2 linked regions of the Struthio camelus genome follow. The main gene of each other region encodes a partner of the protein of the gene in region 2 in a complex. Links are inferred from orthologs where the notes say so. Each region holds a gene or a part of one and is shown on either strand. Other genes may lie near its edges.

Region 1 (8,236 bases), on a different chromosome or scaffold from region 2:
CCCTGGCATGCAACATTATGTTAGAGTGGATGTCTGCCCAGAGTAAATGCTCCTTAGCAAGGGCAGACACTGCTTCCAAATCCTGTTAGTTACTAAGCCACAAGAAAAGGCATGCATCGCAATTTTTACTCCTTTGCTGCAACCCTCCTCCCGCTGCCTTTAACTGCAGTCACTAAGCAGTTACTTCCCTTTAATGGATTCTCCCATCTCCAGCTGCACAGGCAAGATCTCCAGTTTGTAGGTACCCTTGTTCTCCTCAGTGTAAGCAACTTCATTCACACTATAGCTAATGGTGCAAAATCTGTCCTTCACAAAATTACTTCTCTTTCAAAATAAACACCGAAGAGTAATGAAATGGAACAGTACTATCATAAGGACACATATCAGCTTGCATAGCTTCAATCCTGCTATTTTGTGCAATTAAAGCGGAACCTTTCTTCTTCTTCAGTTTGACCTTCAAAAACACCCCAACCAAAGCTTGGAATGCTTGCTCTGCTCTTTACTACAAGATCTTGCTACTTGGTGAAAAAGCAGTTCCTTTTCCTTTGAAGATGAAAACCATGTTTCTATGCCTTGGAAGGGACTCCTGCAGTCAAAGTATCTATCAGGTGTTGAAACTGTCCATGACATCAGTTAAACCAAGCATGAAACATGTAAGAAACATACTCTGAGCCCCATGGCTCTATAGTTTCTCCAGAGGAAAACGCATAGAAAAAACCACATACATTATACAGTGGGGGTGGGGGGAGTGGGGGATCAGAATCTCCTCATTGACTTCCTCTCAGGCCAACCATTCCAGCTCCCTGCAGGAACCTGTATTCATCATTCAGTGAGAGTCTTGTTTTGACTGAACATTCAAGCCAAGCAGCCCAGGAAGGGACCATAATTGCAAGAGAAAGAAGGAATCTCATTCACAAGTACTTCTGTGTTGTTTTCCTTTTCACCCCCCCCCACCACTTTCCCTCCTCCCCCCCCATTTTTAGGTTAAAACAACTTATCACATATAGAAGGAAACAAACTGAAATTACATTAAAGGTCTGCCTCAAATCCAGGTAGGGCAAGTGGGTGCCGAGGGTTAATTTATAATTATTTCCCTGCTCATTGCAGCAATATTGTTAAAAATAACTCCTCTAACACGAAGTACAGCAGCATCTGCACTGTCTTTACTTTGGTTTGGCTGAAGTTTGGTGGGGGGAGCGAAAAGGGGTTCCCACACACATCAAACGCTACTCTTATTTTTGAGTGTGCTCTGACTAAACCTGCCTGCAGCCCTTGCAAGACCTGCCTTAGGCATGGTAGGACATGAAGCAGAGCAGGACCCACACAATGCATAGCGGGTACTAGCAGCCAGCTAGTACCTGGCTAGGCACTACCCAGGGCCTGAGCACCTCGTGTGGCAGGTCTCTCCCCTGACGCACGGCTTTGGTCTCTGCGTGTTGCTGCCCTCTCCTGCTCAGATTGCTCAGATACTTGGCTCTGAGGCCGCAAATCAGTGACCAGGACGCTGCTGGGTCCCCAAACAGCTCTTCCAGCTGCAGACCCTACTGGAGGCTGTCAGAGGTCCATCCTCTCTCTCAGCTGGGGGTGGGGGGGGAGGGGAGGAGGAGGAAATCTGTGGCTCCCCCAGTGCCAACCACACTTACCTCCTAAAGCTTGTTTCATAACAAAATCCATGGCGATGGCTTAGGGGTTGCTGCCCGGTTTCACAACTGACATGCAAGGAGAGCAGGAATCCTGTCCTTGGAGGGCAGCCTGTGAGGAGACACCAACATCAAGAGAGGAACAGTGTCTCCTGGAGGAAGGATCTCTCAGCTTGCCCAGCCCAGACCTGCGGTCATCCCTCCCCGCAGCCTTCCTCCAAGTTTCCCACCCCGAGGCGTGCAGAGCCCGGCTGGCAGGACAGGGCACCCCAGCACGGGGGGGGGGCAAAGCAGCACCAGGGCAGGGTGGGGACACGGCAGACCCCCCCCGTGCAGGGCTGTCCCGAGGGGAGCGCTCCGGCGGCCAGCCCGCGGCGTTCAAGCGGGGCAACTTTCCGCCTCCCCGCCTGCCTGCCTCCCCCTGCAGCTCGCCCGCTGCGTCGGGGGCCGCCGCGGGGGCGTTTGAAGGTGAAGCGCCCCGCAAAGCCGGGCAGGTGCTGCGCGCCCGGGTGCAGCCGGCCGGCGGGGCGCAAAGCGCGGGGCAGGGCCCCCTCGCCAAAGCATCCCCTCTCCCGGCGGAAACCCCCCGGGGCAACGCCAGCGGGGGCTGCACCTTCCCCGCAGGACGGAGTGGGACCGCCCGGCGCCGGACACGCGGGGCAGCGCCGGCGGCCGCTCCGTCCGTGCGGGCTGGGCTGCTGCTCCCCCGCGCCGGCCCCGCGGAGCCGGGCTCGGCCGCCCCGGAACAAGCGCCCCGCCGCCACCTCGGCCCGGCACCGGCACCGGCACCGGCACCGGCACCGGCACCGGCACCGGCACCGCTCCGCCCGCCTCCCCGCGGTGACCGGGTGGAAGCGGCATGGGCAGCAGAAGGAGGAGGAGGAGGAGGAAGGCTTCCCCGCAAGCCTGCAGCCCCTCCGCACGGCGGCAGCACTCCTCTCCTCGGCCCGCGCCCGGTCCCGCTCCCGGTCCCGGTTCCGGCGCCGATACCTGCCGGCGGCGGGGGCTGCGCTGGGGCCGGCGGCCCCGGTGCGGGCGGCGGCAGGTGCCGCGACGAGGCTGCTCCGCTGCTAGCGGCTCCGGCGGCCCATGTGCGGCGGTCGGGGAAGTTGCGGGGTGTCGGGACACGGGGCAGAGGACGAGCCCGGAGCTTCTCCCTACTTTTCCCCCCCCGCGCCCCTCTTTTTATCACGGGATTTCCGGACCATCCCACCGACACGGTCCCTCCTTCCTCCTCCCCCTCGCCCTGCTGGAGCCAGGCTCTCGCCCTCCCCCTGCCTCCGGCTCGCCCGCCCCTTCCCTGCGCCGCCCTCGCCCCCCGCAGCCCGCCGCCGGCAGGGCCGCAGCGCTGCAAGGCACGCCGAGGGGTGCGGGTATTTTGTGCGCGTCCCCCACCCCTTCCGCGGCTGGCTGCGGGAGGCAGCTGTCCTGGCGCTTTGCTCAGGCAGGATTCATCCTGCTGTGCATTTCGCAACTGCTTCCTGGCGTTTCCTCGGGAGTCAGGGTGCGCCGTGAGGGGGGAGTCTGCAAATGCAGCTTCCTGCTCACGGGGTAAGGCGGGCAGCGCCCCGCGTCCTGCGCTGCGGCTCCTTCCCGGAGATCCCCGTTCATCCCCTCGGCCCGGGGCGGCGAGGCGGTGCGGAGAGGTGGAGAGGGAAGGCAAGGAAGGAGCAGCGCTTTCTCTCACCTCCGCCGCCTCGGGCTTTGCTATACGGCCGGGGGAGGATCGCCGGCGGCTCCGCTCAGCCCTCTCCACTCCGGAGGGTTTGGCAGCCTGGGGAGGCTGGAGGAGATAGGGAAAGACCCCCCTGCTTTGCTTGCTGAAGGACGTGGGGGGAACGAGCCCAGTCGCTGGTCTGCCTTCCTGCTGCCAGCAGGAGAGCTGGGAGAGCAACCCACAAGGGGCCAATATGGGGCCAAAGTCATCGCAGTAGTAGGGGGAAGGATGCAAGAGCAGGGCCAGGGAAACAATCCTCCCCCGGGACAGCCGCCGAGGCCCCTCCGGCTGGCCGAGTCTCCGGTGCCGGCTGCAGGGACCGGGGCACATGGTGCAATGCTAAGGCCGCCTCACTCTGCTTCAAGCAGCTTCACTGAGGCTCCATGACATCAGCCTAGGAAGCTCTGCTAGATGGGAGAACATGCTGCACTTTCACTGACAGCTTTCAGAAATCCAAGCAAAAGTTAGTAACAATGGGGGAGAGAGGGAGCAAGAGGAAAAAAAAAAAAAGGTCGAGGAAACAAAGCCTTTTTTTCTGAGCCCTCACTTGCCTCTGGTATTCCCAGTCCAAAGGGGATGCTGGAATCCTTTCCATGCTCTTACTGCCTTTCCATTGCCTAACTGTACTGTAGGAGTGACTAAGCAGAGAGGAGAGCACCCGGGAAGTGAAGCTGGGAGCCCACTAAAGGTAGGTACCCAGGTTTCCTGTGCAGTCATGAGCTATTTCCAGATCTGTGTTGCCTCCCTGGGTGCCCACATCATTTTGAGTAGGACTCATATTTTGGGTCTCTTGTGCAGCACCTCACATCTCCTCTTCATCATGTGATTCCCCTTGGAGGGGAGGACAGTGTGCCCTCCCCTCCACCCATTAAATATCAACAGGGTCACCTTCCTCCGATTGCCTGGAGTTTGGGAAGGAACTATTCAAATCCCCTCAAACACAAGGAACAGGGAAGGACGAGCTGACAGGTACACAGTTAGCATTCCCAAGACCCAGATATCTTTTCCCCACTTTGGGGAGCTTGGAGCATGGTAGTTCAAGAAACTCCTGTAGCAGGCCAGGGTCAGCACAGCCAAGCAGGGCTGCTGAGAAATGTCATCCTTCTTATCCATAGGGACCTTAGCTTTTGTTTATTGATACAATGAACTTTGTGACTGGGCATGTCCTCCACTACATATATATACAAAGGAAAAAGAGTAAAGCCAGGTAAAGCAACGGGCACACCAGGCAGAAGGCCCCTAGAGGTCCTAATAGCCTCTGGCTGATCAATTTGTAGCTGATGCTCTATCCCCAGAGCCCCAAGCAAGTGCCCCTCCAAAGGTGGTGTCTCCATGATCCTGTCCCCAGCCTAGTCCCGCTTCTTCCGGATTACTCAGTTGTTGTAGAAACCTGAGACAGTTTGAACTCAGGTTCAAATGCAGTGAAACACTACCCCAGTGCCCATCATTTCTCACCTCCATCTTCCTCAAGAGGGAAAGAGGGACATAACACTGGATCACCAAACCACAAACCCCTCTGAGAGATTTCTAGGTAGACTCAGCTTCAGCATCTCTCAACTATCCTAAGTGTCAGCCTCAAAGCACCTCCCCCCCCCCCAGGATGTACCTTCATGAAAAGATGAAAATCCAAACACTTGTGGGCCAGATGTGGGTACCTTCCATATTCAATAACAGACAGAAAAGATCCCACTAGCACCCTCGCTCACCAGGTAGGGTTTAAGTAGAGAGGCAAGGGTGGACACTTGGAGTCCAGTGCTACTGGCCAAAGAGAGCAGCATCACAGAGAAATGAACCAGGGAGCAGATGCTTCTGACATCAGCCCCATTGTACCACAGTTCAACCTCAGCTTCATGCCACTTTGGACACCAGCTGCCAGGCAATTGCAGATAGTCCATTTTCTCATCTGTGATAGAGGCCAGCACTGGCTGATTTGGAGAAGACACAATTTTTTTCACTACATCAGCTAACGACCTAAATACCCAGTAAAAAAGAGAGGAGGTAGGCTAGAGATCCATGTCCAGAAATGGTCTCAGAAAGGCCTTTGGAGGAGGCTTTTGACTGTGAAATGGAACAATCCCTCAATTTACTGAGAAACCCAGCTGGGTGGACTCATAGGTGATTTTCCAGGGGTACATGGCTTCTGCTACAGGAGAAATAACAGCTCACCCAGCCTTGGCAATCATACGAGCAATGCCACATGGATCTTCTTTCCGATGGCATAGAACAATAGGTTGTGGCCAGAACACTTTATGAGTGTGAAACTCAAGGTAAAATAATTGAATAGCATACTTAGTGGACAGCAACAAACCTCTGAAATAGCAATATTTTCTGATGAGCACAAGTGAAACAGAGGCTGGCACCTCTAAGTGGAGTTTATCTCAGTACCATGGGACAAAGGAGAACTGCAGCACACTCTGAGGCTACCCTTAACGTGTCTAGCTTCCCCAAACACCGAAGCCAGCTCTTAGCCTAGTTTGCGTTATGTAGCTGACATCCCTCAGCTCCCTGATTCCAGACCTGATGGTGGGCACAGGCCTGTTCTCTGTTCTTCCTCTCTAGAGCTGGAAAAACAGGAAGGTACTCTGGGACCTTCCTTGGTGCAGCTAAAGGGTACCAAAAATTCAGAGCAAATATCTCCTTCACAGGGCTTTGTCTAGGGAGCTCAGACTCCTTGGTCACTGGTTGAGAGCCTCTACTTTTGCCAACGTCAGCATAAGCAGATGGAATAAGCCATCAATCAGTTATGGTCACATTTCCCACAGAAAAAAATGAATATTCAGGTCTACAAAAAAAGAAAAAAAAGAAAAAAGGTCTCTTTCAAAAAAATAAAACTTCTGAATGAGTCAAGATGTTTCATTTCAACATCTTTAAATGCAATGTTTGATTATTCAATTCCATATGGTGTTTGACTACTAAAGTGAAATCAATGTGTTAAAAAGATGCTAATAAAAAAGCTCACAAACTGAATATGAAGGTTAGAGTGAATATGTAAATAGCTATCCGAAATGAACATAACCTGTTTCTTCTTTCTGATTTTTTTTTTTGCCACTTTATCTCTCACACTGATGTTAACCGCAGCAACATTCAGTGCACTGTGGGCAGGACCTGGATGCTGATGAGATGATTACAGTCTTTAATCAATACAGCAACTGAGAGGGATGAGCTAGAAACCTGCGACAAGTAGTTTGTGTGGTTCTCGTCCTTCCAACTGTTTAGCTCAATGAACACAAATCTATTGCATGTTCCTCATAGCTGTCAGTTCTGGATGTCTGTCAAAATATTTCAAAATTCAGGCATTTTTCTCTCTTCAAGATGATTGCTTTGCTTACTGTTGTTCCACTCAGTTTACAATAGACTTTTAAGCACGCTCTTTATTTCACAACCAAATAGAAAGTAGGTTTCTTCTTTTTAAGAAGTGGATATTCTCCCTGTAAGCCAAAACTACGAAAGGACTTTTTAAACATTGTGCCCAGCTCTGAAGAAAACGTCCCTCCAGGTTTCTAGAAGATGACTTTTCCAGGTGAGCATTTGCTGCAGCTGTCACAAGGCCAGCGTTCAGTCATCTGTACTTATAAAGCCTGATTCAAGCATACATTGCTCCACGTCCATGTCTTGCAGGGATGTGCCTGCATATCATTTCTTTCTGCTCAGCTCAGGGTGTCCCAGCCTGGTTTATCTGACAAGCCCCTCGCTAGGCCCCCAGTGACAGCTACTCTGTCCCCTGACATTGGTGATTTCTTGTTTATCCTCTCCCTTTTTCCAGCCCTCTTGTTCCTGCAGCTCTGTCTCTCCTTTCTGTTTCCTGATGGTTCTCTAGACAAGTCCTTGCCTTGCTAGACAGGGACGAAGCATCCCATCTCAGAGGAGCTGTTGTTGCTGCAGATGTGCACAGTTGTGTAAAAGTAGTTTCCCAAAGATTCTGTAGCTCTTATCCCCAGGATATCTACTCCTGTGCATTGTAAGGCCTCTTCTGCAAACAGGATCTGGTCACAGAGCTGAGAATCCATCTTTATCACCCCAGTGTTCATTCCAGGATGTCTCCGCTCAGAGTGCATCAGCTTTGGTTGTGACATTACCATCTGGGGTATTTTTGACAGAAATTTTTCGATCCGTAAATAAGACTCATCCAAACTCATGTGTTTTATGGAAATATGTCAGTTTAGACAGAAGTTTCAAAGGGAAACCAGTTAAAGGAAACACTCTGGCTTTCTCATATTTGATGCTTTTGAGACTTCCTCTTTTGACATGGCAAAAATGCTGCACTTTGGCAACGACTGAACCTTTTTGCCTTGACTTTTCTCTTCCAGCAAAAAATATGTCTGCTTCAAAACTACACGCTTCAGTCACATCAGATTACCACTTTGGGTTTTTTTTTCCAGATTTTCCACTTCATAGGGGAAGAAGTCACATTTTTCCTCTTTGTTGCAATTTGGAGTGGAAGAAAGTTTCAAAATGTCAGACATCCTTTAGAACAGAATTTCTATTCCTTCCAGCTCGCTCCATGCCTTGCCTTCTGTCATTACTCTAGTCCTTGCCAGAGAAGGGAAACAGAGGGAAACAGCATGTTCAGATGAGACTCCAGCTTACTGCCAGACTCTGTGCCCTGTTGTTCTTCTACTGCACAGAAAGAGAGTGCTTCCAGGTTCTCAGCTCAGCCTGAAAGGTAGACATTCACCTCAGCAGACACAGTTTCACATCCATAACACCCAGCTTAATTGTTTATTATTTTTAACTTTTCATTAGGCACGAAGGGAATATATGCATATTTCTTCAGATACTATTGTCCTTACCACAGCAATCACGCTTTGGTGCAATGTGTGATGCTAGCAAAGGAAGGTGTTATAATATTATGCTGTTTACATGCAGATGTCCCCAGAGA
Region 2 (7,650 bases):
TAAGATTGGAGATTAATGCTATCTGGGCAATGTCGGAATCCATAGTTCAGTGGTTCTTCATTTTATATAGGAGATTCTGCCTGAAAAGAAAACCAGGACTTCAGTCCACTTTGTCCTACCCACAGCGAAAATGCTGTTTTCCTGGAGTACAGGTCTCTCTCTTTTTCTGGAGAAAGCTGATTTCCAAAGCAACGAGGAAGATTAGGGAAACACAGCTGTCAACCCAAAACAAAATCCCTGAACGAGGGGCACCATCTACAGGGGAACAGACTGACACTGACTCAGATCTATCCTTGCGTTACACAGCTGACATCTGTGCAAAACACATGCAGGTTGGTTTGACTATACTTGAACATCCCCTCATAAAAGACCATTTCCATTACCCTTTTCATTTCTATTACCACAGTGTCCTGGAGCCCTGGGCACAAAGCAGGAGCTCTCTGTGTGAGGTACTACACAAATGCAGATCAGAAGAAGCCATCTCTGCATGAACAACTTAAAAGCAGCAGCAGATGCATAGAGATGAAGTGCAAGAAACCAACGAAATCCAAATGAAACATTGAGATAAATATTGGTCAGTGGACTAACCATAATTCTTGTTTTTTGATTCTACCCTTTGATTTCTAACTAGAATGAAAAATAGCAAAAACAAAACCAATTTCCTCCACTCCCTCTGACCAACTCATCTCACACATTGCTCCAAAAATCATCTTCAAAGACAGACTTTACATGACACACTTGCTTTTGTTAGCTGTGTACAGCTGAATAGCTACGCCACTTTTTGTTTTACTGAAGTTTAATTCTCACTTTTGCAACTTAGCTTTCTCTCTTTGACTTCAACTCTTTCATGTTCCCCTGATGTAGACTTGACTTTCTGACTAAGAATGTGCCTTCTAATGCGCCCACATCATCGTCACCTGAAACTGAAATCAGTGGTGGGATGAGAGTGTCATACAATGAAATCTCAAGATTTTAAGTTTTCACCTGTATATACTAGCCCTGGGATACCCAGTAAACTGTACAGTAAAGAGTGGACATTTCATTTCCTAAGATGGACAGTTTTAGAAGCACAAAGGCTCACAGAATCAGAACCTCTTTCTAAATGCTGTCCCATCTACCTAATCACAAGCTAGTTCCTTTGTCTTTAGGCATATAAGCTGCTCCACATACGTGAGAAAAGTCAAAAAGAAGGGAAAAATAGGAATGAAATCAAATGAAAATGAAGTGAAATCCTCTTTCTGGTAAAAATAGGTACCTGTGATCTTTGGCAACAAAAGGCTGGTGAATAATTTGATTATAATGATAGCTACAGTTCAGTTCCTGTTAGTTTACAGCTCCAAATTCTGCCTGGTAAGTAAGTTAACATGCCAACAATATCACTTGCTCCTTCACTCAGCTGCCTATTTGCCCTCATTTCCCATCTTGTACAGCTAACTGTGGCAGTCCTGATACTGGGTCAAACAGTTTCTGAGGTACAAAGGGAATCTGATGGTAGCTTGGCCCCCCAACCAGAGTCCTAACTGCTGTTTTTTGATATGCTACGACTGCTCTTGCTCCTGAATTTGCCTCAGTTCAGTGACTGTTATTCCACTATCTGCTCTTTATAAGCTGTAAAACTTCCAGGGTAGGCCTGAGTGTACTTTGGTGTCACTGGCTTTTGCCCAGGCTTTCTCATTGTTTATGGGGCAAGCAAGAGTCTCTTACTTTCCAGATCTAATTATGGCTCATACTACTTTCTATTCTTGAGGTTTTACCTGGAAGACATAGTTTACAGAAAACAAAAAATAAAAATGGCAAAGATAAATGTTGCATTATTTCTGATCTTGCTTTTTGATTCAGATTCTTTCCAGATGCTCCTGTACCTCTGGCTCAGTCAATGTTTAAATTAGAAACAGGGGATATGAGGGATAAATCAATTCTTCATTCTTACTTTACAGGATTCCTGATCAAACTTCTGAATGTTCATTTACAATCCTCTTTCGAGGCACTAATGAACATTATAAAAACAAAACAGAACAGGTCTAGCGTTTCAGAAAACCATTTCTTCTGGCTTTGCATATTTCTTCTTCTTCCTCAGCATAGGACACCTTCTCCTTCCCTGAACACAACTGTGGAAGACACAATAATAATAATAATGACAAATACAATGATCTGCATTTTGTGAGTTTAGTGATTAGCATTTGGCTAGCACTTCAAGCATTCATTTAACGGCTCTTGAGCTCTTCTACAGCTCCTTTGCCCATTCAGGACTGCATGTTGTCCCTCAAATTTCATAGCTTCTTTACGTTTAATTAAACACTATGACTGGACAGTAACTGCCCATTTCCTTGAGGATGCGGTAGTGAAGTAAAACTTGTTTATAGTACTGGAGACCTCCTTCTGTATGAATCAGCTTTGGGGCCTGAAAGGAACCAAGGCAAGCTGAGTACGTGTGCTAAAAGGAATTAAACCTCTGCAGTAATTTTTTTCCAGTGCAAAGTGGAAAAGAGAATAGGTGAAACGTCTCCCATGCAGCCCCTGTGTATGGTCTCCCACAGAAAATGGGTGAGAAAGGGATGGTCTACACTCTTCAGGGCTACTGCTAGAGAGCGTTTCTGTTCCTTACTGTCTGTACACTAGGAGAGGGCCACTGGGCCTAAATGATGTTTCTTTCTATGCTGAAACACTAAGACAGTGTGTCACGCCTTGTGAACGCAAGACTCCCACAGACTTCTGCCTGTGTGGCTCTTAGGAACACAGCATCAGGTCCATACAGTTATCTGCATCAAAATAGCTGTGTGTGTTTTTTTTTTAACTGACCAGATAAACGATCCTAGAGAAAATAATCACAGAGATCTGTTGTACTGAGAGAGAGAAATTACATGGGGTAATCTGGGCGTTAACGACTGCACTTTTGCACGCACAGGATAAAAAACGGCAGCTCCTCCTTTGTGTAGGTCAGCAAGAGCTGACTGATCTTTCCTTTCCTTTCCTTTCCCTTCCCTTCCGTTTCCCTTCTCGTGGCCTACCATGCCTGTATAAGAAAGACTCATAATGTGACTAAGAGACATAAGAGGACATGTCCAGCACGGATGGGATCACAAAACATGTATTTCAACCGAGCTGGAAAAGGACCGTGACTTTTCAGAAGCAAATACCACCACAAATGTATGGGTGGGGAATGGCAAGATGATGTCTTGTGGAAGTCGAAGTAAGTTGCTTACTTCTGGACATGCCTGGGAGCTTTAAGAGCTTAAACTTGGTCAGCTGTCTGCTAACGATGGCATGTTGAAAGAACGCCTCTTCTTGCCCACATTTGCTATGCATCATATTAAGCTACAATTTAGATAACGTCATATTCACTTCATGTGTGCTAAGTGAAACCAAGCGAATGGTTATGAAATACATTGATACTTACTAAAGATTTCTTAGAACAACTGTAATTCTGTAATATCCTGTACTGTTATGCATCAAGAGTAGGCTGGAACCTGTACGTTTGGTTCCTTGAAGCCCACTACAGGTTACGGAAAACTGTTATGTAAATATCATGGTATTATTTCTAGAATTGTGTAAATAAAATTGTATTTCCCTCCTGTAACTTTGACAATGTGCATGCAACAATAACAAGCTAAAGAACAAAGAACTTCAGCCTGCTGTATCTTTAAAAGCTAAACTTACATCTAAATCTATTCCCACTTCCCTCTGGAACCTGAGTAGCTCTTTATGTTGTATTAAACATTAGACAAATAGGATAGATCTAATTAAAAGTTGGAGAAATGTGCCTCTGCTAATTGAATTTGCTACAGTTACATTTTGGAGACCAATGTTAATCAAAGCTCCGGTTCAGAGCGGCTGGACCTAGGGAATTTAAGTTAACCGTTACATCTCCTTACCTGAATGTGCGACAAAGCCTGCTCTTGCGCAAGCCAAAGCGCCCCACCACGGGCCGCCGCCCGCCGCCGCTGCCGGGGCGGCCCGGGGCCGCGCGAGCACCGACCCCGCCAACCGCCCCAACCGCCGCCGGCCAACGGCAGCCCAGGCCGGCGCCCCCGGCACGGGGGCAGCCAGGGGCCAGCCCCGCCCCTCCCCGCCGCCTCGCGGCCCCCGCGCCGACCCCGGCCGCAAGCGGCGGCGGCGGCCACGCGTGGGGATGCCCGGCCGCCCGGCCGCCCGCCGCCTCGCGGCCCCGCCCGACGGGGCGGACAGGGACCCGCACGGCCGCGGGATGGGCGCGGCCGCCGCCGCGGCTCCACCCATTGTAGGCGCGGCGCCATTGGCTGGCGGCGCCAGGCTCCCCGCCTCCCAGCCAATGAGGGAGGCGGGCCGGGGGTGATGGGCTGCCTCTCGCGGGAGGGATTCCTAGAGCCGCTGCAGTGTGGTGGCGCTCCCGGCGCCGCGCAGCCCCCGTGCCGCCTCCGCCGCCCTGCCCGCCCTACCTACCTACCTACCCGCCCGCCCGCCCGCTGCCGCCGCCGAAACTTGCCGCTCGGCTCGCCGCGGGGCGCCGGGGCAGCCTGCCCGCGCGGGGGCGGCCCGCCGCGCACCCCCGCGCCGCCCGTTGTGCATCGCCGCCTCGTTCCCCCCCCCCCCCGGCGGGCGGGGCCGGGCCGGGCGGGGCCGGGCCGGGCGCGCGTGTGGTACCGGTGCCGCCGCCGCCGCCGAGGGGAGAGCGCCGAAGGACGGGCCGGCGCGCCCGCCCCCGCCGCCAGGTAAGGCAGCGCGCCCGGGGACAGCGCCCGGCGACGGGGGCTTCCCCGGCGGTGGCGGTTGGAGCCGGGGGGGGGGCGGCTGTCGTGCCAGCGGCGAGAGCACATGCTCCGGGGGCGGCTGCGGGGCTGCCGCGCCAACGGCCGCGGGGTGGGGGCGCCCCCTCTTCTCTCCCCCCCCCTCCCCCCGGCCTGGGCGCTCCCGGTGGACAAAGCGGGAGCCCCGGGCCGGGTCGGGGCCCGCTGCGCTCGCCCTCCGCGCCCGCGGAGCGCTGCCCGGGGGAGGGTGGGCGGGCAGCGCCGGCTGCCGTCCAAGTCGCTTTTCTCACCTGGCGGTGTCCGGCCCCCCCGGGTGGGCTGTCCCGGAGGTGGGAGCTGCGGCCGCCCCCGCCGGGGCTCCGCGGGTGCCCGCAGGGGTGTCCTCGCCCAGCACCAACCCCCCCCCCCCCGAGGGCTGACCTTCCCTGCTGGCAGGAGGACAAAACCTAGTAATTTTTGCATCAATTAAAGGAAAAAAAATTCCTCCATTACTTACTTGTGTGGGTTTTTCTTTTCTTTCTTTTTTTTTTTTTGTGTAAAACCCATGCCATTTCATTTTGCTTCCACAGACGTTATTTCCCTCACCTTATTTATACAGCTTCCTTACTTTGATTTCTGATTGTATTATGGGTCCATTTCACGTGCATGCGCATGATATGGGTAAAGGATCGATGCTCTGTTTTGGAAGTTAAATCGGCTTATCAAAAACTTCCAGGTAGAGTAGTCAGAAATTGACAAAGAATTGTTAATATTTCTTTTTGTTTCAAGTCTTGTGAAATAAAGATATCAAACAACTAGCAGCTTCTAGTAGTGAGTATAGTAAGTAAATTAAATGTAGTCATTGGAATGAGCCTTTATGGCACTTTCAACAATCTGTAATTCAATCATCTCTGATACAAGCTGCCTTTTGCTATTATTCATCAGACCCAGCTGAGTGATTTCTGTCAGATGGGAAGTGGTAGAGAGAAATCTCTAGGTAAATGTAACTGGAAAGCTTTCCAAGTGGAGTCCTAAATGAGCACAGAAAAGCACTTGGCTGCAATCTGGAGACAGATGTTGGCATCCAAATAAATCATTTCCTTTGATTGTTTCGGGGAGTGGGGGTGGTGGGTGTCAGGGCTTATTTTCCTTATTTAGTACCCATTTGTGAGTGAAGAAGCAGCTCGGTGCTTATGACCTTGCAAACTTAATGTAAACTGCTTTAATTCAATAGTATTTCCCTGTCTTTCAAATACTATTTTCCGTACAGGGGTCAGTACAGTGATTTTTAGATACAGATATACGTTGCAGTCTGCAACTACAGGCTACTACTAATCAACAGCTGCAATATTGATCCTTCAAGGAGCTATCCAGTGTGCCAGCCGTGCTTTATGTTGATCTATCACATGCTGTTTAAACTGCTTTATTGTCAGAGAGAGTTATTTTCATCCTGAAAAAGAGAAGGCAGTAGTTGTAGACCCAAGAGGAGACTCCTCTCCCTGGTGGGTTAACATCTAGAGTTACAGATGAGCGAGCGTACATTTTAGGAATGACCCTGAAAAGGGGTGTGGGGGCGGGGGGAGGAAGGAAGCTCTTGGGTACAAGGACAAGGGGGCAACAAATTAATTTGCCTTGTGAGTACATGAATTGACGTTTTTAGCCATGCTTACACTTTTTCTGAACAGGTTAGTTTAAGGAAATTCCATGTGTGTCTAGAATGGTATTTTCTTGCCTATATTGGGAACAAATGACCTGATTTTATTTTTTTTATGTCCCAGAGTCAAATATATTTTTATTTTCCTCCCAAGTTTTTTTGCAATTGTAGTTCTATTAGTAGTGTCCAAGGGGAGTATACTTTAATGTGGTCTATTACTTGGCTTGTGGTATAGTTGCTCAAAATTTGCATGCGTGCAATGCATAAATTGAAAAACTATGTAGCTTAAAAATATAGTGTAGGCAGCTGGAGTGAGAAGAGATGATCTTAAAAAAAAAAAAAAAGAACCACAGGGCAAAAGATAATGACATACCGTAGGAAATAATCATGCTCCTGCACTTGCAAAAGCGTGAAATGTTCCAGTGTAGCCATTTCATACAAGCCCAATTTTCCTTCGCATTAAGAGTGCCTAAGTGAGCCTTATTAATGTTTGATGCAAAAGATGCTAAATCCATTTTAAGGATTGATACTGGAATTTAAAGAGGTAGCTCACAGATTAATAGTGCAGTTCTAACACTTCCAACAAATAAACATAATCACTTAAAATATATACTATAGCAGTGGAAATGGAATATAACGTTCTCTGTAGCAGTGTCTAATGACAGACTAGAAGCTCTTTTAAAACCATAAATATAAAATAATATTTGGTTTACAATCCAAAACTTTCTCCCATCTTGTTTGTAATGTAAATCAGATGTAAGAACCCAGAAAACATTCAGCTTCGATTGGCGTAGCAGTTCGGAAGCTGTAAAAATAAAGGAAGATTCTGTTTGTCAGAAACACAGGAAAAATCTATACTAGTTCACCTAGCATAAAGAGAACAGAAACATAAAATCAATTTTTATGGCCTTTTTGACAGGGTTTGCTGTAATATGTAAAAAGAAAAAGTAGTTCAGAATCCTAGAAGTTTTTAAGCCACTCAGCCTTATAGAACTTAAAGTTGACTTATGTTTCCTTAAATAAAAATGAAGCTTTTATTTAGCATATTGCACTTTTTTCTTATCCATTCAGCACTCTTAGTTTAAAAAAATCCTTATGCATAGATGTGTGTATGTTTTTATATATAGATAGATACATATTTAAACACACAGATAAATTCTTACTGGCAACTGAGTTCTGAATAAAAGGGTGTACGCATCCTTACGTTACCTGCTCTGGAAGAGACATCAAAGTTTGCAATACAACTGAAAAGGACAAGAAAATATTTCCCCATGTTGCAGAATAAAAGCACGG

Evidence for each region.
Region 1: the proteins of SYT1 (region 2) and CPLX1 are in contact, whole or in part, in a crystal structure (PDB 5W5C), measured with the Rattus norvegicus proteins. The link is inferred for Struthio camelus from reciprocal best matches to the Homo sapiens genes SYT1 and CPLX1. Residues at the interface, in NP_001028852.2 of Rattus norvegicus: Glu271, Thr383, Gly384, Glu386, Thr406, Leu407, Gln408, Glu412, Met416; in NP_074055.1 of Rattus norvegicus: Val61, Met62, Gly65, Asp68, Lys69, Tyr70, Lys74.

Annotation. Positions count from the first base shown.
Region 1 is NC_090982.1:1,094,104-1,102,339, reverse strand, and holds the start of CPLX1 (complexin-1), read right to left. Parts: upstream 3,089-8,236; 5' UTR 3,036-3,088; exon of another isoform or gene 2,631-3,035; intron 1,753-2,630; 5' UTR 1,675-1,752; coding exon 1,644-1,674; intron 1-1,643. UniProt on the Homo sapiens protein: Positively regulates a late step in exocytosis of various cytoplasmic vesicles, such as synaptic vesicles and other secretory vesicles.
Region 2 is NC_090942.1:44,750,335-44,757,984, forward strand, and holds the start of SYT1 (synaptotagmin-1), read left to right. Parts: upstream 1-4,591; 5' UTR 4,592-4,688; intron 4,689-7,650. UniProt on the Homo sapiens protein: Calcium sensor that participates in triggering neurotransmitter release at the synapse. May have a regulatory role in the membrane interactions during trafficking of synaptic vesicles at the active zone of the synapse.